Linked DNA regions of Struthio camelus. The protein of the gene in region 2 purifies or fractionates together with the protein of the main gene of each other region. This does not show direct contact. Links are inferred from orthologs where the notes say so. Each region holds a gene or a part of one and is shown on either strand. Other genes may lie near its edges.

Evidence for each region.
Region 1: the proteins of RBPJ (region 2) and RITA1 purify together in Homo sapiens (affinity purification with mass spectrometry; 4 studies listed by BioGRID and IntAct, with this or other methods). This does not show direct contact. The link is inferred for Struthio camelus from reciprocal best matches to the Homo sapiens genes RBPJ and RITA1.
Region 3: the proteins of RBPJ (region 2) and MAML1 purify together in Homo sapiens (co-immunoprecipitation; 12 studies listed by BioGRID and IntAct, counting the BioPlex papers as one, with this or other methods). This does not show direct contact. The link is inferred for Struthio camelus from reciprocal best matches to the Homo sapiens genes RBPJ and MAML1.

Annotation. Positions count from the first base shown.
Region 1 is NC_090958.1:7,134,031-7,141,285, forward strand, and holds the start of RITA1 (RBPJ-interacting and tubulin-associated protein 1), read right to left. Parts: upstream 3,007-7,255; 5' UTR 2,960-3,006; intron 1,929-2,959; 5' UTR 1,880-1,928; coding exon 1,599-1,879; intron 946-1,598; coding exon 402-945; 3' UTR 1-401. Other genes in the region: ATP-dependent RNA helicase DDX54, read left to right, coding at 3,077-3,145, 4,565-4,688, 4,807-4,877, 5,008-5,196, 5,658-5,707, 6,170-6,211, 6,764-6,859, 7,146-7,255. UniProt on the Homo sapiens protein: Tubulin-binding protein that acts as a negative regulator of Notch signaling pathway.
Region 2 is NC_090945.1:66,786,790-66,794,737, forward strand, and holds the start of RBPJ (recombining binding protein suppressor of hairless), read right to left. Parts: upstream 3,017-7,948; 5' UTR 3,002-3,016; coding exon 2,901-3,001; intron 496-2,900; exon of another isoform or gene 114-495; intron 1-113. UniProt on the Homo sapiens protein: Transcriptional regulator that plays a central role in Notch signaling, a signaling pathway involved in cell-cell communication that regulates a broad spectrum of cell-fate determinations.
Region 3 is NC_090954.1:6,929,641-6,937,210, reverse strand, and holds the start of MAML1 (mastermind-like protein 1), read right to left. Parts: upstream 3,007-7,570; 5' UTR 2,882-3,006; coding exon 2,513-2,881; intron 1-2,512. Other genes in the region: CANX (calnexin), read right to left, coding at 7,160-7,213. UniProt on the Homo sapiens protein: Acts as a transcriptional coactivator for NOTCH proteins. Has been shown to amplify NOTCH-induced transcription of HES1. Enhances phosphorylation and proteolytic turnover of the NOTCH intracellular domain in the nucleus through interaction with CDK8.

The sequences.
Region 1 (7,255 bases), on a different chromosome or scaffold from region 2:
CTACACTGTAGGTGTACCTGTGTCCGGTCCTGTCTCCTGGCTGGGCCCTGCACCTATGCTGTCGGTAGTCCTGTCTCCTGGCTGTCCTGACTGGACGTCCTGGACGGAAGCAACCTGACTCATTACCTCACCTCATCTGATGATCCCTGGACAGGCAATGAAAGCTGTTATTACTGCCACGGCTGTCCTGCTTGGGTGCCATGGGACTGTACCCCGCTCAGGGAGGTCACTCACTGCCGCGTTGATGCTGTGGTCACTCTCAGCTCCTGGCTCGTCCTCCCTCGTGGAGCAGTCCCCTTCTCGCTGCTCCCTGACAGCTCCTTCCCTTGTTTGCTCAATGGGTGTCAGACCCCTGTCGTGGGTAGGTTAGGGGTGCATTTACATACAAAGGGACGTTCATTTTACTTCCAGGGAGGCCTGGGTTTGCAGATACCCACTGCCTTGGAGTTCCTGGCAAAACAAGGTGCAGACACGCTCTTAGACCGAACCCTCATCAGAGGACCTCGGGGTGTTGCAGGGGCTGTTGAGGGGCACTGATTTTTATGCTTTTCTGTCTTGGGGTTGCCTGAAGCCAGTCGGAGGCTATCCGGAGAGGCGTTCAGCCGAGTGAGAGACTGAGAACGTCCTCTGTTGGGAGCACTCCGGCCTTCAGAGTCCGAATTGCTCTCAGGCCGTTTCCAGATGTAAGACTCGCCCTTATGATCTGTGCCAAGGTTTGCTAGCGCTGGCGATGCTGAGGCTCGTGGGTGGACAGCCCTCAAGGGCGTCTCCTTGGAGCGGGAGGAAAGGCTTGACTGGTTTCGGGGGGCGGATGACGGGCTCCAGAGCAGTGGACGAAGTTTGGCTACATCTTCTCTCTTCATCCAAGAAGCTGCCCAGGACGGATCCTCAGGCTTGGTGCCAAACAGGGACTCATCGCAATAGGATGGAGTGTGACTTTTCAACCTTTGCAGGGAAAAAAGCAGAGAAAAGCATGTTCATATTAAGGTGGGAAAAGACAGCAGCAGAGGCCTAACTGCCACGTGGAATCCAAAGGGGGCAAATCTTTGCTCCTTGCTCTGGATCAGCTGCTGAGGCTAAACCCCACTCCAGCCCCTCCCAAGGGCCGCTTAGGGCCAGCTGGGCTGTAAACAGGCTCCTGATCATTTGGACTGGAGAAAAGCGGACAGATAGGGTTTGCTGTATTGCTTTTCCTGAGCTGCTGGTTACAGAAAGGGGCACCAGGTTTACTAGCCCAGCGGGCTCTCTGGGACTGCATCTCAGCAACACGAGTCTACTGATGCCTAAAACACTTCAGAAAATCCCCTCCTCTGGGGAAAACTCCTCTATATAGGAGGAAACATCAGGGAAAAAGGGAAAATCTGGGATGCCTGGGCATCAGAGGCTCTCCGGACAGCTTGCAGAGGGGAAAACTGCAGCAGTACTCGACATACACGGAGATAGCGAGTCAGGGTACACAGCCGGACCATCTCCTGCCCCGCGTTCCCGGGAGCCGCTCTGAAGGCCGGCGCAGGGACGCGGACGGGCTCCCTCACCCCCGCCAGTCCCAGCCGTAGGTGCCGCAGGGTTTCCAGCGGGAGAGGAAAGAGGCCACTCACCTGTACTTGTTCCTTTTCCTGGGGGTGCCCTGCGGCGTGCAGGCGGCGGGTGCGGCGGCCTCCGCTTTCCACCTGGCCCCGGCCGCGGGCGGGCTCCACACCAAGGGCCTGGCGGGGCCGGCCTCGTCCGCCCAGGGAGGCGCGAAGTCCGGCGGCGCCGGCCGAGCCCTGCCGGGGCTGCCGAACAGCGTCTCGTCCACGAAGGACGGCCGGGCCTTCCCCCTGCAGCGGCTCCGGGGCTGCAGCCGAGGAGCCGGGCTGCTGGCGACGGCCGCGTTCATGGCCGGCGGGGCGGCGTCCGGCTGAGGGCATCGGCGAGCGGTCACGCGACTGCAGGCCATCGGGGCAAGACAGCGGATTAGAGGGATGAGGGAAAGGAGATCCCCGGGGGCTGCCGAGAAGGGCCTCGCTGGCGGGGGGGCATCGGGGCCCTGCCCGCGCCGGCCCGGCCCTCGGCCCCGGCTGCCCCTGCCACCAGCTCGCTGCAGCCCTGCCCCGCATCAGCCCTGCCCCCACTCGCCCCCGTCACTGCCCCCCGCTCCCCAAAATGCCACCTCACATCCCCCAAATCCCCCCTGCCCCCCAAACTGCCACCCCACATCCCCCCAAATCTCCCCTGCCCCCCAAACTGCCACCCCACATCCCCCAAATCCCCCTGATCACCTCATATTGTCACCCCACATCTCCCAAATCCCCTATCCCCCCCAAAACTGCCACCCCACATCCCCCAAATCCCCCTGATCACCTCATATTGTCACCCCACATCTCCCAAATCCCCTATTCCCCCCAAACTGCCAGCCCACATCCCCCAAATCCCCCTGATCACCTCATATTGTCGCCCCACATCCCCCAAATCCCCTATTCCCCCCAAACTGCCACCCCACATCCCCCAAATCCCCCGATCACCTCATATTGTCACCCTACATCCCCCCAAATCTCCCCTGCCCCCCCAAAACTGTCACCCCACATCCCCCAAATCCCCCTGATCACCTCATATTGTCGCCCCACATCCCCCCAAATCTCCCCTGCCCCCCAAACTGCCACCCCACATCCCCACATCCCCCCACCATCTCAAAGTGCCACATCACATCCCCCCAAACCCCCTGCCCATCCCAAACTGCCACCCTACATGCCCCAAATCCCCCTGCCCACCCCAAACTGTCCCCCCACATCCCCCCAAATCTCCCTTGCCCCCTAAACTGCCCCCATAGCCCCCTCCAACCCTCTGCCCACCCCACATCCCCCAAATCCCCCTGCCCCCCCAAACTGCCCCCCGCATCCCCCCACCCCCTGGCCCCCCACACTCCCCCCCCACATCCCCCTCAATCCCTCTGCCCCTCCCCGGACCCCCCCGCCCCCACCTGGCCCGGGCGCGGGGCCGCGCGAGCCCCGCCCCTTCCGCCCCGCCCCCGCCGCCCACGTGCTGCCGCCGGGGCGGGGCCTCGCCGCGTGCTTCCGCCGCCGCCGCCGCCGTCGACATGGCGCCGCCGCGCGCCCGCCGCCAGCGGGAGCGGCCCGGCCCCGGGGAGCAGCGCCGGGCGCCGCCGGTAGGGGGACGGGGGGGGTCGGTGCGCCTGGTCCCAGGGGGCCTGCGGTCCCCGGTGCCCCGTCTGCCCGGGGTCCCGTGTGCTCAGTGACCCCAGTCCCCCATGTCCCCAGGGTCCCCAGGGTCCCCCATCTCCCCAGTCCCCCCTGTGTCCAGTGACCCCAGTGCCCCATGTCCCCACTCCCCCATGTGCCCAGTCCCCCGTGTCCTCGGTGACCCCAGTCCCCCATCTCTCCAGTCTCCCGTGTGTCCAGTGACCTCAGTGCCCCATGTCCCCACTCCCCCATGTCCCCAATCCCCCATGTGCCACGTGTGCCCAGTGCCCCATGTCCCCACTCCCCCATGTCCCCAATCCCCCATGTGCCCCGTGTGCCCAGTGCCCCATGTCCCCACTCCCCCATGTGCCCCGTGCCCCATGTCCCCACTCCCCCATGTCCCCAATCCCCCATGTGCCCCATGTCCCCAATCCCCCATGTCCCCAATCCCCCATGTGCCACGTGTGCCCCGTGCCCCATGTCCCCACTCCCCCATGTCCCCAATCCCCCATGTGCCCCGTGTGCCCAGTGCCCCATGTCCCCACTCCCCCATGTGCCCCGTGCCCCATGTCCCCACTCCCCCATGTCCCCAATCCCCCATGTGCCCCATGTCCCCAATCCCCCATGTCCCCAATCCCCCATGTGCCACGTGTGCCCAGTGCCCCATGTCCCCAATCCCCCATGTGCCCCGTGCCCCATGTCCCCAATCCCCCATGTCCCCAGTCCCCCGTGTCCTCGGTGACCCCAGTCCCCCATATCCCCAGTTCCCTCTGTGCCCAGTGACCCCAGCCCCCCATGTCCCCAGCCCCCCGTGTCCCCAGTCCCCCGTGTCCCCAGTCCCCCATGTCCTCAGTGACCCCAGTCCCCCATGTCCCCAGTCCCCCGTGTCCCCGGTGACCCCACTCCCCCATGTCCCCACTCCCCCATGTCCTCGGTGTCCCCAGTCCCCCATGTCCCCAGTCCCCCATGTCCCCAGCCCCCCGTGTCCCCGGTGACCCCAATCCCCCATGTCCCCAGTCCACCGTGTCCCCAATCCCTCATATGCCCTGTGTGCCCAGTCCCCTGTGTGCCCCATGTCCCCGGTGACCCCAATCCCCCATGTCCCTAGTCTCCCGTGTGCCCAGTGTCCCCAATCCCCTGTGTGCCCAGTGACCCCACTCCCCCATGTCACCAGTCCCCCATGTGCCCAGTGACCCCAGTTGCCCATATCCCCAGTCCCCTATGTCCTCGGTGACCCCGTGTCCCCGGGGTCCCTGGTGCCCAGTATACCTGCTGTCCCCAGTGCCAGCATCCCCAGCGCCAGCGTCCCCAGAGCTGCTGTCCCCCCATGCTGTTGGGGCGCCTGGCCGCCCGCGCCCCTCCCCACGGTGCCGTTCCCTCCGCAGGCCCCCGGGTGCGCGCTGCCGGCCTTCCCCGCTGCCGAGGAGGCCACTGCTGAGCTGGACACCCAGGCCATGGTACGGGCCCAGAACAAGAAGAAGAAGAAATCCGGAGGCTTCCAGTCCATGGGTACGTGTTGGGGGCTGGGGGTGGGGGACCCTTGGAAACGGGGCCGTGCCGAGTCTGCTCCACGGGGCCCTGTCCTGCTTGTGTTGCTCCGTCACCTGCTAACCCCTGTCTTCTCCAGGCCTGAGCTACCCTGTCTTCAAGGGGATCATGAAGAAGGGCTACAAGGTGCCCACACCCATCCAGAGGAAGGTGAGCCCCCTCGGGGCACGGGGCACTGGACCGAGGGCCTCCGGGGCGATGGGTGCTGCCCACGTGGGGTGCCCGCTCCAGGCGGCGGTGCTGGGTGGTGAGGGCAGCGCCGCTGGGCTGTGTCTTGCAGACCATCCCGGTGATCCTCAACGGCAAGGACGTGGTGGCGATGGCACGGACGGGCAGCGGGAAGACGGCCTGTTTCCTCATCCCCATGTTTGAGAAGCTGAAGGCCCACAGTGCCCAGACGGGGGCCCGAGCCCTTGTCCTCTCGCCCACCCGCGAGCTGGCCCTGCAGACCATGAAGTTCACCAAGGAGGTACCGGGACGGAGGTGGTGCTGGCTGAGCTGGGATGGAGGGATGGAGGGCAGGGGAGGCAAGAGCTCGAGCGGTACCATTAACCTGTGGGGCTCCATGCTGCAGCAGATGATGTTGAATTATCACCAAAGGGTGAAGGACATCTTTATCTCTTAGTGCTGCTGATGATGATCAAGCGCTGTCCTTTGCCGGGGGGATCTGTGCAGTGCCGGGATATGACTTGTGGCTGCCGTGCATGGCCAACCCCTTTCTTAGAGGTTCAAGCTAATCCACGAAGGGAGGAGGGAAGAGCAGGCAGAAGGAAAACACGTTGCGTTGGTGCCCTCATCACCTGCCTGCTCTGCTGCGTCCCCAGCCTTGGCAGCAGGGCTGTTTGCTGGCATTGGAAGGGAACAGCCTAGGGATTTGTTTTGAGGCCGAATCTGCTTGTAATTCTCCCGTGTTTCTCCCTTACCCTGCAGTTGGGCAAGTTCACAGGCTTGAAGACAGCCCTTGTCCTGGGAGGAGACAAGTAAGTCATCCCCAGTGCCCCTACCAGTGTTTCTGCCCTTCCCCTAAAGCCCAGGCAGCCCTCCCGAGGCTTTCTGCAGGCACTTGGCCTGTCCCAGCTTCCCTAAAATGTGCTGAGGGCTGCAAAAATCTGCCAGATGTTGGGACTGGGCATCACAGTGGCATCTGGAGCAGGGTTCCTGGGCTAGATGGTCTGAAGTTTCAGCTGGCCATCAAAAGAGCTACTCACTTGCTCACGCGTGAGATCTCAGGGCTGAGGAGCTCTCCTGTGCAGTGGGTCCCTCTCCGCAGCCTCGAGCATGCAAAGTGTGGCCTGGAAGGATCTGGCCTTCGCCCCATGCCCTGGGCTGGCCCCCAGCTCTGCAGTCCCCAGTGGCTTGCCCGGGGAGGCCTTGCGAAGGCAGGCGGGCTGAGCTGCCCCTCTGCCGCCTGGCCCCGTCTCAGGCTCTCTCCCCTCTCGCAGGATGGAGGACCAGTTTGCTGCGCTGCACGAGAACCCCGACATGTGAGTCTCTGGGGTATCTGGAAGGGTCTGCGCTTCCCTGCTGATGTGGCGAGGAAACGTGTGCTGACAAACGCTGGACGCGCACCGTGTTGGGGTGATCCTGGGACCAGCTGCTGGACCTGGAAAGGGTGCTGCCTCCCTGGGACCCCCATGATGTCCCTTGGGTTACCCACTACCCTGCTGCTGATGGCCTGGTGTGGCCCCAGCGGTCCTGACTCGAGCCCTGCGAGCTAGCTGGCCCTGCTCCTGGTGCCATCCAAACACAGGCTGAATTCTGCCCTTCTGGCTGTGCCACCCGGGGATTGGCATCATGAAGGAGGTCACTAGAGATGTCTCTGGCGTTTACAATCACATCCCATGGCCATGTCCTAGGCTTTCTTCAGAGTGTCTTCCTGTGTTCCTTGCATGGAACCAGGGAGTTTCTGTCTGGTTGTCTTTGAGCCAGACTTGTGCTCTGGCACCTGGGAGGGAGGTGTCCCATCCTGCTTCCCCACGCTCGTCTCATGGCTGAGGTACGGACCGGCCGAGCATTGCGGTCTCTGTTCCTTGCAGAATCATCGCCACCCCGGGGCGCCTGATGCACGTGGCGGTGGAAATGAATCTGAAGCTGCAGAGTGTGGAGTACGTGGTGTTCGACGAGGCCGACAGGTCAGCGAGGGCCAGTGCCGGGGCAGAGCGGGGCCTGCTGGGCACTGCCTTTCCAGTAACGTGCTCGCTGGGATGAAAGTGGCTGGACTGTGGACTCGGGGGAGCTGTGTGCCCCATGTTTGGAGTGAGCAACGAGCCCTTGCAGGGGGTGGGAGACGCGGAGGGCAGGAGGTGTGCGGAAGGAATGAGGTGCCTTGGCTGGGTGGTGCTGGCAGGTGCCAGGAGGCAGGGCTGGGCATGGCAGGAGATGCCAGCGCTCTGATGTCCCGCGTTCCCTGTCCTGCAGGCTGTTCGAGATGGGCTTTGCAGAGCAGCTCCAGGAGATCATCGCTCGGCTCCCTGAGAGCCATCAGACGGTCCTCTTCTCGGCCACACTGCCTAAGCTGCTCGTGGAGT
Region 2 (7,948 bases):
CCCACTTCCCTTTCACTTCCCATCCTACTCCGATACTAGTCTGATATTTTCACAAATGTTACTAAAACACATGCATGCATTTTCTACGTTACTGAGTATGGAAAACATCATACCAGTGATAAACCCATTTAGTTGGTTTTGTCTTTTTCAGAGCTTTTCAATCTGTTTGAAAAATAATCCAGATACTATCTCGTATACTGCTATTACAATGACTTTCACGTCTAACCAAAATTTCCATCCTAAAATTATTAATCCAGATGCAGAACTGTGTCTTCAAAGAGGTGCAAGCTTTGGTAACTTGTTTGTTATGTCTTCATCACCATACTTCTCTTGTGCTGCCTTCATAACTGGGAGAGCTCCATGCAAGCATCCACAAAGCAGTACCATCTTCTCTCAAAAACCTCCTAACAGTTTTTCAGAAGTTCTCACTAAAAACAAAGATACAAAACAACCAGATGGCTGGCACGCCTAGATCACTACCACTATGATAAAATTCACTGCACTGGTACCAAATATACTCCTGTATCATCATAGATCCAATGTGCTTTCTTTTACCCTTAAATTGTAAGCTCAGGAAACACCTCTTAACCACAGAACTTTGGCATGACTAATTCAGACACATAGCTTAAAGAGTCTGATACTTTGACAAGTCTTATTAAAACACACGCATACATTTTCTGCCTTACTGAGCCTATGGAAAACATCACACCAGTGCGATAAGACCATTTAGTTGGTTTTTTTCTTTCCCAGGGCTTCTCAATCCTCTTGAAAAATAATCCAAATATTATCTTGTATACTGCTACTATAAAAACTTTCACTGGTAACCAAACACTCAAAGTTATGTCTAGCATTCACCATTTTTATTTACACTTTCTAAATTTTGTTTACTTGTTCACTGGCATAGGAATCTTTGCAAGGATTTTGCGTAATTGCTTCCTGCACCATTTTTTAGTATTGTCTGAGACTACAGAGTGTCTCAACCCGTCGAAGTCGCCTGAGACTACAGAGTGAGACACAGAAGACACCATTCTGCGTTTCACCTCATTTTAAATAACAGTAAGTTCTTCGGAGTGGAAATTCTTTCTGTTATATGGTTGTATTAGGCCTAGCATAATGATTTTCAATCTGAGGCCCATAGGTATTTCCATAGTACTAGTACTTATTTAAAACAAAATGTTTCATACTGGAAATATGCATCTCTAGTTAAATAACATCTTCAATAATTCTGTAGTCTTAAAATGATGAGTTTCCCTAAATCATTCACAAGCAAAAACAAAAATACTCCATAGCAACCCAAAATACTATCCTATTATTCCAGGCGTAAATTATCCACTTCCTTTTCAAAAAAAAAAAAAAAAAAAAAAAAAAGGTGAACAGTTCATTTTCAGTGACTTGTTTCATGTTTCTCTGTAGTTTCTCATTATACCTAGTTCTGCCACCGGAAAATTTAGGTTCAATCATAATACTGTACATGCAAACATTCTTCGTGATACAAGAAGCGTACAATATGCTGCAAATATGAAACTGGTAAAGAACGCTGACTCCCCCAGAAAGACAATTCACATAGTGAATTCTTACCATTTCATTCCAAAATAGGGTTGCGCTATGTACCATAATTTACTTTTAGGCATACAATTTTTACAGGAAAAATGTGCTTGTACATTCAGCTTACACTGACTACAGAAAAGCCATACGCTTTATCTCAAAGTTTCAGCACCTATAAGATTTGGAAGCCACTCATTAAAATAGAATGTAGTATTTGGATACGATGTTCTTCAGTTACAGCTTTTTAAATTTTAAATTAAATTTCAAATCTCTTCCTATGCAATTCACAGCTTTTACAGAAAGAAAAAAAGACTAGAAGTCTTCTAATTTTTTTTTAGAAAAAGTCTAGGAAAGAAGCACGTCTTTACTGACTACTATATTTTGTGAAAAAAATGCATTACTGAACTATCATCAAATTTTAATCCCAATATACACAAACAACTCAGTATCAGAGCTGAACTTCAAAAATGGAGCATAAATAAAAACTTATGCTCCTTGATGCAATACAAGTATAAACATTAATCAATCTTAACAGATTTTCTGTTTTTACCAAAGCTTAAAATACTTAATCATAAGAAAACAATGTGACTACTTTTTCAGAGAATTACTCAACTTACAGTTTTGAGTAATAACGTCAGCATTTAAATCCTAAACTATAGACAATTTTTTTCACTCTTGTTAAATGTTATATTTTTCTACCAAATTATTTGGTCCTTCACTAAAAAAAACAACACACGAGTGGTCATTCTCAACACTTGAACATATCTCTGAGCAGCATAAAAGTAGTGTCATAGACCTGAGATCACTTTTCACAAACCTCTTACAATCAATAAATGAAAGGAACTGAGTCCACATATTCAGATGAGTAAGTGAACAGAAACCCGGAAAAATTTAATCCTTAACTAGAGCACAGACTTAGAGAAAGCTTTAAAAGCATTTGTTTCATTCTTTCCACTCTAACCTCTAAAACTGTACGCTCCAGGAACCATAACAAACAAGACCCGCTTCCCTAAAGAACATTTAATTAGGAAAACGTGTAGGAGCCACAAGATGCCTTTATCAGGACAGAAATCAAGCAAAAGCTTGATTTTCGTTTTTTGACAAACAAGAGAAAAGAACTGGAAACACTACTGTGGCCAAATAAAACAACAAAATACCATAATGCTACCTTCTTCATGAGAACAAAAGCATCAACCACCAACTCCACCCCACCCCCAAGCAGGCTGTTGCTCTCTCTAACCACACAGCCAATGCTGAAGACAATGTAATCCCACAGGGAAGACAGAAGGTCACAGACACACTGCAAAATCATCAAATTAGGTCCACATTTTAGAAGGACACAGCAATATTTTCACCAATCAGGATTTTGTTTGGAACAAACAGGTGGAGTGGAGACATGTCCCGCTCTTCTCCTGACTGCCTCTTCCCTGAATACACAGAGGGAGGTCACAAGCATTCACTGTAGCCCAAAATTAAGGCCTGGTGGGGGGGGGCACTTATACTAGGCGGCAGAATTCAAGAAGTGGCAAGGCTAGCAATACGCAATGTAACACAGCAGGTGAGACTGTGTACTGTATACCAGCAGCAAATCTGTTATCATTCATCTGCTGTAGGTGGCTAGGAGGGTGCCACTTATTACAGTGACACACTTTGCAGCTGGCTAGCCATGATTAAGTATTACCCAGTGTGGCTGAAAGGGATGGCAACTATCATTCGTTATGATCCACCGTGGCTTAGCGGGGTGGGGAGGCTGCTACCCTTCAGTGCGACGCAATACTAGTAGGAAGGCAACTAACAAAACTCACCAAAGCCCAGGGAACGGTGAACAGGGTGGGGGCAGGAGAGAAGGGGAACTTCAGTCCCTCGACCTGAGGGAACGGGTGCCTTGCTAGCAAGACTGCAAAGCCTGCTCGCACCAAGCGCGACCTAAAGCACTTCACAGCGATCCGGGAGCTCCGGCAACGTTGAGGGCAAGGGGCCTCCAGCCAGCCTCCGCTACGCGAAGGGGCTGAGACAACGCAAGAAGACAGAGCTCAACTTCTCGCAACCGCAAAAGCGGCAGCCTTTGTCCGACCGCTCGCGGTCTGTGGCCGAGGGGGCCCGGGGGCTCGCGCCTGCGGCAGGATAAGCCGGGGCGGCGGCGAAGGGGGCAGGAGAAGGGCCTGTGCCGGCCGCGGGTCCCTCTCCCTGCCGGGCTCCGCTGCTAGCCCGCCCGCAGACAGGGACTCCGCCGGGGCGGAGGGGATGAGCGCTGACCCAGCACGGTGTTCCGACCGGTCCGCCCGTGCCGGAGACAAGGGGAGAAGGGGAAGCGGCCAGTCCTGCCGGGCCGCCCGCCGCGGGGAGCCGCCGGGGAGCCGGGCCGCCCGCCGCCTGGAGCAGGGCAGGGCAGGGGGGCCTTCTGCCGTGCGCCCACCCGGGGGGACCCCAGCCCCCCGGGGTTTGTGCCTCAGGGCTCCCCGGGCTGTCCGGAGAGGAGCCTTCTCTTCCTCGGAGCGGGGGCAGCGGGGCCGAGGGAGCGGGACGGCGCGGCCGGCGCTCCGGCACCCCCAGAAACAGATCGCTCCCGGCGCGCCGCTGCGAACCCCCCGCACTTACCCTGTCACAACAGGCGCCATCTTCCACAAACTCTCGCCAAAACTCCTACTCTCGCGAGAGCGCCCCCCTCTCCGCGCGAGGAGCGCGCGTGCGCCAGCTCGTGAGACACACGCGGAGCCGGGCGGGGGCGCGGCGCGCGCCGCCCACTCACCGCCTGGGCTCTCCCCTCAGACACAACAGTGGCAGGCGTGGGAACCGGGCGGATCTCGCGAGAGCACGGCACCAGCCCCGCCGGCCAGCCGGCAGCTCTCGCGAGAGCCGAGCCAGGGGAGGGAAGGGGGATTCCCTCTGCCCGGCGTCTGCCTGTGAGTCCCGCTTCTGAGTCTTCCCGAGTCGGCGGGGGGAGGACTAGACCAATGCGGGGGGAGGTCGAGCAGCGGCGGAAGAAACCACTCGGGGCAGGGAGGGGAGGAGAGAGGTCGTTGCCCGAGCGCGGCGCAGGGGCGACGGCGGGTCTGCCCGGGAGAGGCCAGCTCGCCGGCCCTAGCCCCCGCGCCGGAGCTGCCGGCGGGGGAAGTTGCGGCCGCCCCCTCCTCCTCCTCCTCCTCCTCCTCCTCCTCCTCCTCCGCGAGGAGCAGACGAGGCGTCCGCGTGGGAAGTCCGTGTCAGTCAGCCTGGGGGCCGCCCGCCTGGTGGCTTCCGGGGGCCGAACCCATGGGCAGCCCCGCCGGTTCCCTGGGGGCCGCGCGGCCGTCCCCGGCCGGCCGTTAACGGCTGCCCGCGCCGGCCGTTACAACCGCCCCGCCCCCCGCCGCGCGCCGCTGCTCTGAGGAGCCGCCCCGCCCTACCCCGCCCCGCCCCGCCCCGCCGCGGCGCGGCGCGGCTCGGCTCGCCGCCTTCAGCCCGCTGCCTGCCCCAGGTGCCTGCCCCAGCTGGGCTCCGGCCGCCCTCAGCAGAGGGGGGCCGAGGGTAGCGATTAGGGTCTACGAGGCAGCCCGTTTTCTCCAATATAGAATGAATTTTCTTTAAAAAATTCAAGTTACTGTGGAAGTTTGGGCAATAACGTTTAATGCCGGCTCTGTCCAACATCCTTTAAATGATATAAAAATAAACGCAACTTGATAGTGTTTAGCAGTGAGTGTTTCCTACCCAAGTTTTAAAGAAGGTCCAAACCACTGACTGGAGGGAACCCATATCATTGCTTTTAATAGCTGTATCCTCTACAAGTGCAGACCAAATATTTTTATTGTTCCTGTTAGCTGAGTTTAGTTTAAAAATTAGTTCATACAAAGCTCAAAGACTCAAGGGAATTGGAAAAGGAGAAATTTTGGTGCCTGGAAAGGCACCGTGATTAGAAAGATCTGTTAGTTTTTGCAAATGTAAATAATGTTTCACTTTTAAATGGCTTTAATTGAAAAGTATATCTTCATAATTTTGTTGTCTTTCACACACAAAATAGCTAAGGAACATTTGTCCAGTAAATACAAATTTTTGAGTCCATTAGACTCTGTTCAGCCAATAAAATGACCCTTGTAATGACCTCTCAAGTAGAGCTCTGGAGGTAGGCATGGTAATGAGAAAGTATAAAATTATCTGGATATGGTCCAACATTTGACATTAAGAGAAAATCTGGATTTTGAATCAATTTCAGAACATGATCATTTCAAGGTCAAAGTCTGATTGTCCAATAGGTACTATGTTTGAAAATTAATCCCTTTACATCAAGGATTCTATCCTGTCTCTCTGTTCAACTTCCTCTTTCTGTGTCTACTATCATCAATCTAACTTCAAACACAAACACAATATTGTTCTGACGATTCACAAAGATTCCCGAAAGCTGTGTCATTTTTATTACCTCACCTTAGTGCCTCTGCTGTCTCCCAAATGAAGAAAAAAGATAACTTTTTATGAAATTCCATTCATATGATTTGATGTTTCTTTCTTAAGTATTCTCTCTACTGCTAATATTAATTCAATGAAGAATAATGTCTCAGATGAGTAAACTCATGTTTTAAGAGATTGCTTGACCACAAAGTTTGCTGTAACTGCTCACTGTACAAACACCTATTGTTTGCTGTCATTAAGGGCACTTCTCCCATCGTGATTTCCCCCTCCTCATTAGTTATAAAAGGATTTTGATTGGTTCCTTCATAGGCTCACTTCTCATCAAAAGCACAATGCATACTGGAAATCCTCTGTATTGTTTGTGGAGAGCAAATCATAATCCCTTTGGAAATCTCTTCCTAAAAACATCTTTTTTTTTTTTTCCAAGGCTAAAGAATGATCTCAGCTCGTGCTAGTTCCATTCCATTAAGAATGGTTTCTGGATTTTTGCCATAGACTCTCTCTAGATGGTCATTTTCTAGGGGCCCTCTTTTAGTGTGTTTTGAATCAAACTGGAAAATCTAAAAATATAGCACACAATAATATGCAGTGTCTAGACTTCTTTTAATATTTTACCAAGAAAACGTTTTGATTAATAACAAAATTAATTGGATCCTGGAGAAAGTATATTATTTCGAAGAATTAATGATTACAGAAACTATTGTACTTCCTTCCATCTCTGACAGAGGTACAATATAAAACAAATAACTATTGAATTTTTTTTTCGTTTTAATTATAAACAATCTGCAGTGCAAAAGGTCAGGAATACTATTCAAGTAAAAGACAATGGCCTGAAATTATGTGAGTGTCTGGCAGAAGGAAAGATGAAAAAAAAACTGAAAGGGTTTTTAACCAGTGTTCGGGCACTGAATTTTCTTCTTGTTGCTCAAAGACTTTATATCCCATAGTACAGAGTGCTCCATTTCTGTTGTCTTCAGTGGCAACCGAAAGCATTTAGTACCTCAAGGAACCAGGTCCCACTTTCGGATCTGTAGAGAACGGTAAATACTTCCAGAGTTGAGGTGTAAGAGCAAATTTAAATACAAGGTTTGCACATTTTAGAAGTTTGTACTTATTACACAGATCACTGGTTGGACTGTTTAAAACAAAGTTATTTAAGCCCTGCCGAAGCCAGGGGAAGCGTTCTGAGTCAGGCCTATCATTTCAAAAATGATTAGGAGAAACAAAGCTTGGAGGTACCTTTGAAGGACCTGATTTCAGCAAGCATTGAGTCTGTTCCCTCTTTTCAGCTGATGCTTTGCTAAGTAACTCCAGTTGGGTGCTCAGAATCATTAGTTGCCTGTGAAAACTGAAGGCGATTAAGTAAGGAAATTTTACTTTCATTTTGTAAACTCTGTGGGATGGGGTCACTTCCTGCTTCTTTGGGTTCACTAACACCTACAGGTGTGGACGGACCCAGGTCCCTCTGTCTGTGCTCCCTGCTAAGTGGATTCCAGCAGCTTCACCTGAGAATTCATATGGTGACCTCATCCTCTCAGGATCTGAGGGTGGAAAGAGGAGGAAAGACACACAGCATAGCAACAAGCCCTCCATATGGACAGGGAGCAGGTCTTTTGGCCCTGAGTTTTGCATATCAGATGGTAGAGAAGGAGCTGCCTGGCTGAGCCCAAGCAGCACAGCTCTGGGAAGAAATGGCAGATGGGAACAGGGAGCACTGGGTGCAGGCTGTAATAAAAGGGATCACAATTTCAACAGCTTGTTCAACCAGTTTGGACCAAACTTTCTCCAGCTCGGCACTGGCTCTGGGCTTGACCTATGCTCATTCCTTTGGGCAGGGCACTAGCTAACACTGCTATCTGGCTTCTAGTTTGGCAACTGCCTCACATCTAGCTGACTTGGAGAAAGATTAGAGGACAACAGGCCCGTCTGCACCCATTTGTATAAAGTACCCTGTATCTATTCTGTGCACAATGAGTCCCATCCCTAGTTCAGTCTTCTAAAAGATAACTCATAATATGTC
Region 3 (7,570 bases), on a different chromosome or scaffold from region 2:
TATAACATGCTATAAAGGAAGCGGTGGTGCTCATCCTGTTCCCCCAGCTAGTCTGAAGCTGCCAAGTAGAGCAACAGGGAGTGCATACACTGGGCACTGTATGACACTTGCTGCAAGTGTAGCTTCAGGTCCTTCCGCTGCAAGCCATCAGATGCTAGATCATTTGGCAGCTCACATATCTTTATTTACACAAACTGCTTTCTCTCTGAAAGACCAAAATAAGTGCTTCGTTAGCGTCCAATACAGAGCACTAGTTTCTAAGAGAAGATTCACATGGAGCTTTATGGAAAACTCCTGATCATAACAGCAGCAATAGTGCTGTTATAATAGGACTATTGATACAATGCAAGTTTAATTGTCCCAGTAGCATTCTTTTGAAAGGAATGTGCCCAGGATATTTTAAAAACAAGATAATTTTGGTGGTAATCCAGAAGTTTACTGAACACTGTAAACCATATCCACGTCCTTCCCCTACACACAGCAGCACATGCTTAGTCTTGACAACAGTTACATGATTGCTAGTGGTAAAACATCAACTTCTGGGTTAGAGAGGAACCCTTTATCCTAAAGGAATGAAATTAGCAGCAGAGGTTTGTTGTCGTTGTGCTATTTTTTTTTTTCCAAACTTGAATTACCAACTTTATACCCTAGTAACGAGATGATGAATCAGCAACTGCAATTAAGCTTACAGTCATGTATCCTAGGAAGGAAACAGCAGGCCAGCACGAGGAAGAGTCATTCATACACTAAAATCCTCTTCTGTTGTGTAAATTGGCCACTGGCAGCAGCTTCCTGCACAAGAAGGGCTTCCCCAGATGTGCACTGTATTTCAAAACCACACTGCTGCTGAGAGTCCTCATTATAATGGATGCTAATGAGATCAAATCCACATCCAAAGCAATTTGGAAGAAATGCCACCAATGAATCAGAGATATCTTTCTTTTAGAGAATCAATCAATTTGAAGCAGCATGGTGGCAGTTTAACGTGTCAAATCCTGTTGCTTAAAGAACTCTGTGTGTGTATAACAAAAATACACATTATTAATGGTTAGAGCCCCATACACAAAAAAAAACTCAGAGCCCAGAAAGGAAGCAAACAGAAATTCCATCAAGTCTTCGGGTAACAAAACATGAGTTTGAGTCATCTGAGTTCTGACACAATTTACACTCAAGATCGGCCTACCAAACAACAGGTACCCAGAAAGCATTACAGAATCACTGTACGCTCTTCCTCCGAGACTTTTCTTTCTCTATTGTATGAGCGCTATAACGATATCACAAGGATTCCAGTCTTCAGAAAAGCCTGCATGTCCTAGATTCTCATAGGTATGTTACCAACAGAAGCAATTCGGCCAAACACTTTCATTTCACATTGCATATATTACAAACCACGCACATGCTTGTCTAGCGCTAGTTACGTTAAAGCTGACATCAGCGTGCCCCACATCATGTACAGTACAAGCACACAGTAAGTGCTACTGTGATACTATTTTAAAGTCTGCAGCCAAGTGAGATCCAAGACAGTAGAGAATCACAGCCTCCCTTCTTCTGTTCCAATTTGATCATGCTCAAAAACTCAAAACACATAGGCCATCTTAAAAACATGATTTAACGTATATGTTAACTTGAAAACGTATCATATTAATGCCAGCACCACGTTTTCAAGGCGTTCAAAACAGCAGCATTGTATCATTTTCAGGCAGGTCACCATGCAGAAATACCTGCTTTCGTGAAAGAAAGCGGGCAACCTCTGTGAGGTTATCCTACTAACCTACATTACCGACACATTAGTATAGCCTAGTACCTTTAAAGGGCACAGAGTAAGTTAAGCAATAGGCAATAGCTATCTTAATATACAAACACAGCTGTATGAATATATCCTGACAACTAGAAATGCTAGAGAAGCCAGAGAAACATGAAGACTTTGGGTTAAGCCAGTTTTTTAATGGGTGGAGTGGGATTCCCGTAGTGTTCACACCCACTACGGAGCGGCAAATAAGCAGCTGCCCTTCCAATACCATTCCACTAAAATTCTTTCCAGTATGCAGCAGAATTAGTGGAGACATTATCCAAAATATATGTATCAGTAAAAAAAAAAAAAAAAAAGTGTCCTCATGCAGCGATCCCGCTAAACTCCCACAGCCTAAACTAAGGCACAAACAAAACAAACAAAAATCCCATAGGCCTCGCAGTACTAGTGTTCCCCTGACAGTTCCTCCAGAGACAATTTCGGTGAAATAGCCAGAACCACAACTCAGCAGGCTGCACAGAAAGCCGCTCGGAACGGCCCTAACAGTGGCAAAAAGAGGCATGCAAGTTCTTTCCCCCCCCCCCCCGCTTCCTCCTCATCAGACCGTTTTCTGCGCACTCTTCCAGCGCGCAGAGATGACAGGAGGGAAAATAAAGCAGCCCGTGCCGGCTGCTAAGCGGCACCCGCGCAGGCACGGCCGCTCGGCCCGGCCGGCCCCGGCCCCGGCCCGCCCGCCCGCCGCCTCCCCCGGCCCCGGCTTACCGCGATGAGCGTGCTGCTGCGGCCGTGCTGCTCGCCGCCCGCCGCCTCGGCGTCCAGCCCGTTGGCCCCGCTCCTCTCGGCGCTGCCGGCGGCGGCGGGCGGCGGAGGGGGCGCGGGCGGCGGCAGCGGCGGCGGGGGAGGCTGCCGGTGCTTGCCGGCCCGCTTGGCCTTGGCCTGCAGGCAGCGCTGGTGCAGGGCGAAGGTTTGCTGGCGCTCCAGCTCCAGGCGCTCCGGCGATACGGCCTGGTAGCGGGACTCGCAGGCGCTGTGGTGCCGCCGGCAGAGCTCGATGCGCCGGCGGAGCCGCTCCATCACCGCGCTGTGCCGCGGCACCACGAACTCCGCCATGGGGCAAGGGGGCAGCACCATGGACCGGAGCGCAAGGGGGGGGGGGTGGTGTGGGGGGAGGCCGCCGCTGCCGCCGCTCACCGGCTCCTCACGCCGCCCCCCGCCATGGCGGGGGCGCCGCGCAGGGCGGGCGCGGGGCTCCCCCCCTCGGGCCTTGCCCGGCCTCGCCGCCCGCCCCCTTCGCCGCCGGCCTTACCTGGGCTCGCCCGCCCGCCCGCCCGCCCACCGCGCCCCCGCCCCGGCCCCGGCCCCGACGCCGGCCCGCTCCCCGCGGCGTCCCCCCCGCCCCACTTCCTCCTTCTCCCCCGAGGCCGGTGCGGCGGCGCCGCTCCCCCTCCGCCGGCGCTGCGCTGCGCAGCGGCCGTTGCCCGCTCGCCCTCCGGCCCGGCCGCGGCCCGCTCCGCTGCCCCGGGCGCGGCGGGGCCCGGCGGCCGCTGCTCTCAGGCGCGGGCCGGCCCGAACCCCCGACTCCCCATTGTTATCCGCGCCGCCGCCATCTTGAAATTGTTTTTCCCCTCAAGAGCCGAGTTGAGAATAAATAGGCGGAGCTTCCTGGGTGGCGGGCGACGTCACGCTCGCGTCGCGCGTCACGAGCGCTGAGGGACATCGCCGCCAGCCAATGGGAGGGCGGGGGGGAGCGCGGAGGCGTGGGCGGGCAAGGCGGCCGGCAGGACGCGGCCGACGGCGCGTTTAAAAGGCAGGGGCCGGGAAGCGGCGGGGGCGGGGCTTGGAGAGAGGCCAATGGCGCGCGCCGTGGGCGGGGCCTGAGGAGTGAGTGACGGGCGCTCCCCCCCCCCCGGCCGGGCGCCCCCTCGCCCGGACAGAGCGGGGCAGCGACGCCCTCCCCGCGCCCCTGCCCCGAGCAGGCAGCTGTAACCTCTCTCTCTTTCCCTCCCCCCCTTTTCTTCAGGGCTTGTGGACAGCTGGGTCCCAATCACAACTTGTTCCCGTCAAAAAAAACCAACAAACGCGATCAAGACTTAAGCCCCTTCAAGCTAATTAGACGAGGCAGCCAAAGCGATTTCAGTTTCTTTATTGATTAATTTTACATTATAATTTATTCAGGTTTTAATATATGCATACTGCATCTACAGTGACCTTTTTGAAATGGACAGGTCTTTTGCACAGAAGAAGTCACAGTCCTTGTTTACGAACACCAAGGTTTTTTCATTGCTTTTTTTTTTTTTTTTTTGAAACCTTGAGGCAATATTGGCAACTACAGATTAACGAGGAAAGGCTTGAGGATGCGGAGACTCCTGGCAACAGCCCTGCCTGTGCCACCACCAGGTAAGGGGAGCGCTGCTTTGGCAGAAGGAGAACAGAAAGCGAGGGACAACCACAACCCCAGACCCCTCCACGAGCACTTGGCTCCTGCGAGGATCCCAACCCGACACAGACAGTCTCAGCACATTGTACAGCCCACATTCTCGAGCTGTGATAATTCAGCATTATCAGAGCTGCAAGGACAGCTCCTATTTGGTTATATTTCTAGAGCAGGTTAGTAGGCACCAACTCCCTTCACTGAGCACCAGGTTCCAGGACAAAAAAAAAAGAAAAAAAAAGAAAAGGCTTCAGCATTTCTAGTATCCTGTATTCCAGATATCTAACTGCCCATAAGCACACTTGATGTTTGTTCCTTCTTGATTAATCTCAGCCTAAAACCCCTCCCTCACCCCAGACACAGCAAGTTCAACTTCTGGGAGTTCATGCTCTCCAGCAGCTGCAGCCCTCACACACACACGCGCACCCCCCCACACAGTCAAATACACCTTCGCATACTTGAAGGTGTTTCAAACCTAGCTCACAGGTAGCAACCAAGCAGAGCTGCAGTACTTGGAAAACGCTGCCATGCTTTACAGGCATTCTTTATTCTGAATAAAGAGATAGCTACTTTTGCTCCAAGGAATTAAAAAAAAAAAAAGGCGATTCTAATGTTAAATTGAGCCACCCAAGTGAGAATGCAGGATAAAAAGTAACCTTTAAGTTGTCTATCCACTTTGGAAAGTCTTCATTTATTGTAGTGATTACTCAAGAAGCATACACTAAGGTATCAAAAAATGCATAACATGCAGACAGGAGACCTTTTCAGAAAATCTAGCACAAGCAAACGTAGGTGTACATAGTTAGCTTTACTATAATACTACTCAAAAAGCTGAGAGCAGATCTTAAGTTCATTTTTGATGCTTTGAAAGGAACATGTACGCACAAGAACTGTCCAGGAATTTAAGGCAATTTGCATATTAAGATAAAAAACACTGATTAGATTAACAGATTTATGTTGTGCTCAGAATTGTTAGCTGACTTGAAACCATTCACATATACTCCATCTCCAAGGACTGAGAGTCATAAATAGCAGCTGCTCCTTGATAAAAATACAGTCCTGAGAACAAGCTAGTAGCAATGCTTAAGCTATGACATCTTCCATGTCAGAGTATAAGCTATTTTGGCAAAAAGGAGCAGTATTTACCAGGTGTTCAACAGGCAAAAGGCATTCTAAACATGCAATAGCTCCCAACAGAAGTCTGAAATTACTTCCAGTATCTTGCTTACAATAGTTTATTTGCACACTGCAGAAAGAGCAAGAAATCCTGTTATGCATTTGTGGTGTCTAGTATTTCCAACACAACAAGTAAAGGATACAACATGAGGACAGGCAGCAAAAGGTGTTTCACAAAAAAAAAAACCCAAAAAACAAATCTTTTAGTAACTGGTTAGTCTGCAAGGTAATCAGAACACTTTCCTCCCCCACCCCCGGGAGTTATTCCCCACACAATACCTATGACCTAGCCCAAACAACACTGGAGTGTTTATATTCAGTGCAAGAAGAGTAATTTTAGGACATTTAATTCACTCTAAACAAAGGCAAAAAAAGCTTTCTATATGGACATCCAAACTCCAGCATATTTGGTACAGTGTAATGAAGCTACACAGATTCCACCCTCAGAGGTATGCTCTTGTAGTGATCACCTGCATTCCACAAAAAAAGTGTTTGAAACAGTATAATATTGTAGACTCAACACTTAAAAATTTATTCAGCTGGAATTGGAACTCCCTAACATTCACAATATAATTTAGGATGCGTTTGTTACATGAATAGCAGATAAAAAGACTCAAACAGTTTCACATACCAGGTAAGATATTCCACATGCTCCTTCCCCACCTACAAATACTGACATCTTGTTTGTGTTTGATTTTTCTTAGAAATTCAGTTCAACTTGCCTACCTGACCACCTCTCCTGTTTCTACAGGAGCAGACACACAGTGATAGCAGTGAGAGGATATGGGACACTGTCCTATCCAGTGTTCGGACCCTGGAAAGGAGTAGGCCTAGCTATGGAAAGTCTAACAAGGAGCTGAACATGACATACTTCTCAGCAATTGAGGCAAAGCTGCACTCGGAAAAAGCTGCACAGTCACAAAGAAAGGAGAGCAGTGGCTGAACAGAGGGGAAAAGGAAAAATAGTCTAAATACCCCCAATAACCCTTCAGCTTTATGGGAAGAGTTCAAGGACTAACAAAATCCAATTTCTGCAGGATTACACGCCACATTAAGATGACCTATTCCCCTATTCCAAATCCTAGATCATTCGTCAACACTTAAGTGGGCTTTAACCAGGACAATGCTCATAGTCCCTAAGACTGTCTAACTCCTTCCTTCCACCCCTTCTTTTTCCCCCCCCTCCCCCCCAAGAACAGAGTTGATTACAAACTTTACCTGCTAGTTTTCCCTCACGCATCCCACCCTGCTCCCAGTTTTTTTCCTTTGAGGGGAAAAGGGGTTGTCAGGTATATTGACAACTTTTCTTTAACCATAATTATCAAACTTTAAGGGATATAAAGACACTGGTGCATTTAGGAATTTACATGTTTGTAAAAAAAACTAGTTATAAAACTGCACTTTTAACATCTAGCATTTTTCAAGATTTTCATCATTATTTTTCACTAGTTTAATATATTAAATTAAGCCATGGTTTGAGACTGGCAAAATTCTACCAATCTACTTAAAAACAAAAAAAGTATTTAAAACCAAAATGAAAAGGTTAGTTATGTTACATTCCAAAATCCACAGCCCATTACATTAAATGTATTCTTTCTACAGGAATGATGTTCTTTTAAAACAGATGATTGCAAGATTTTACTGCTAGACACTCCATTACATTGGATAGCGTAACCAGAACCTGTGCATGGTGAGATCTTGAGGTTTGTCCAAGTTTCAATGTAAGGTGTCCAAGGTCCTCTCCCAGAACCAAGTTTGGAAAAAAAAAATTACAGATCAAGTTCTTATGATTTTTTTTTCTTTCAATCTTTCCTTGGCTTTCTGTTTCTGGGTGATCTATTCACAGTCTCCTCCTCCTGCAAGAAAGTAATTTGTGTCAGCAGCAAGGAAATCTAATCCAAGAGTACTCTTAAAAAGAGATGGGGGGAATCTACAAACAACTTAAATTCTAATGCAGAAATGAAAGTAACTCCTGAAAGAACCTACTGCTGTTATTACCCCCTCCTTTCCATACATGCCAACAGATGAATCCTCTGCTTTTCACAGTGGATGTCCATTATTCGCAAATGGTGTTTAATAGCATCTGCTGCTGTGAGAATACCTTAAGTTTCAGATAAGAAGCATTCCAACCCTTTTTAAGTTAGCCATTACGTCAGCGTGGAACACTTAAAAGGTCATATCCTGACTGCATACAAAGCTGAATAAGCCTTCCA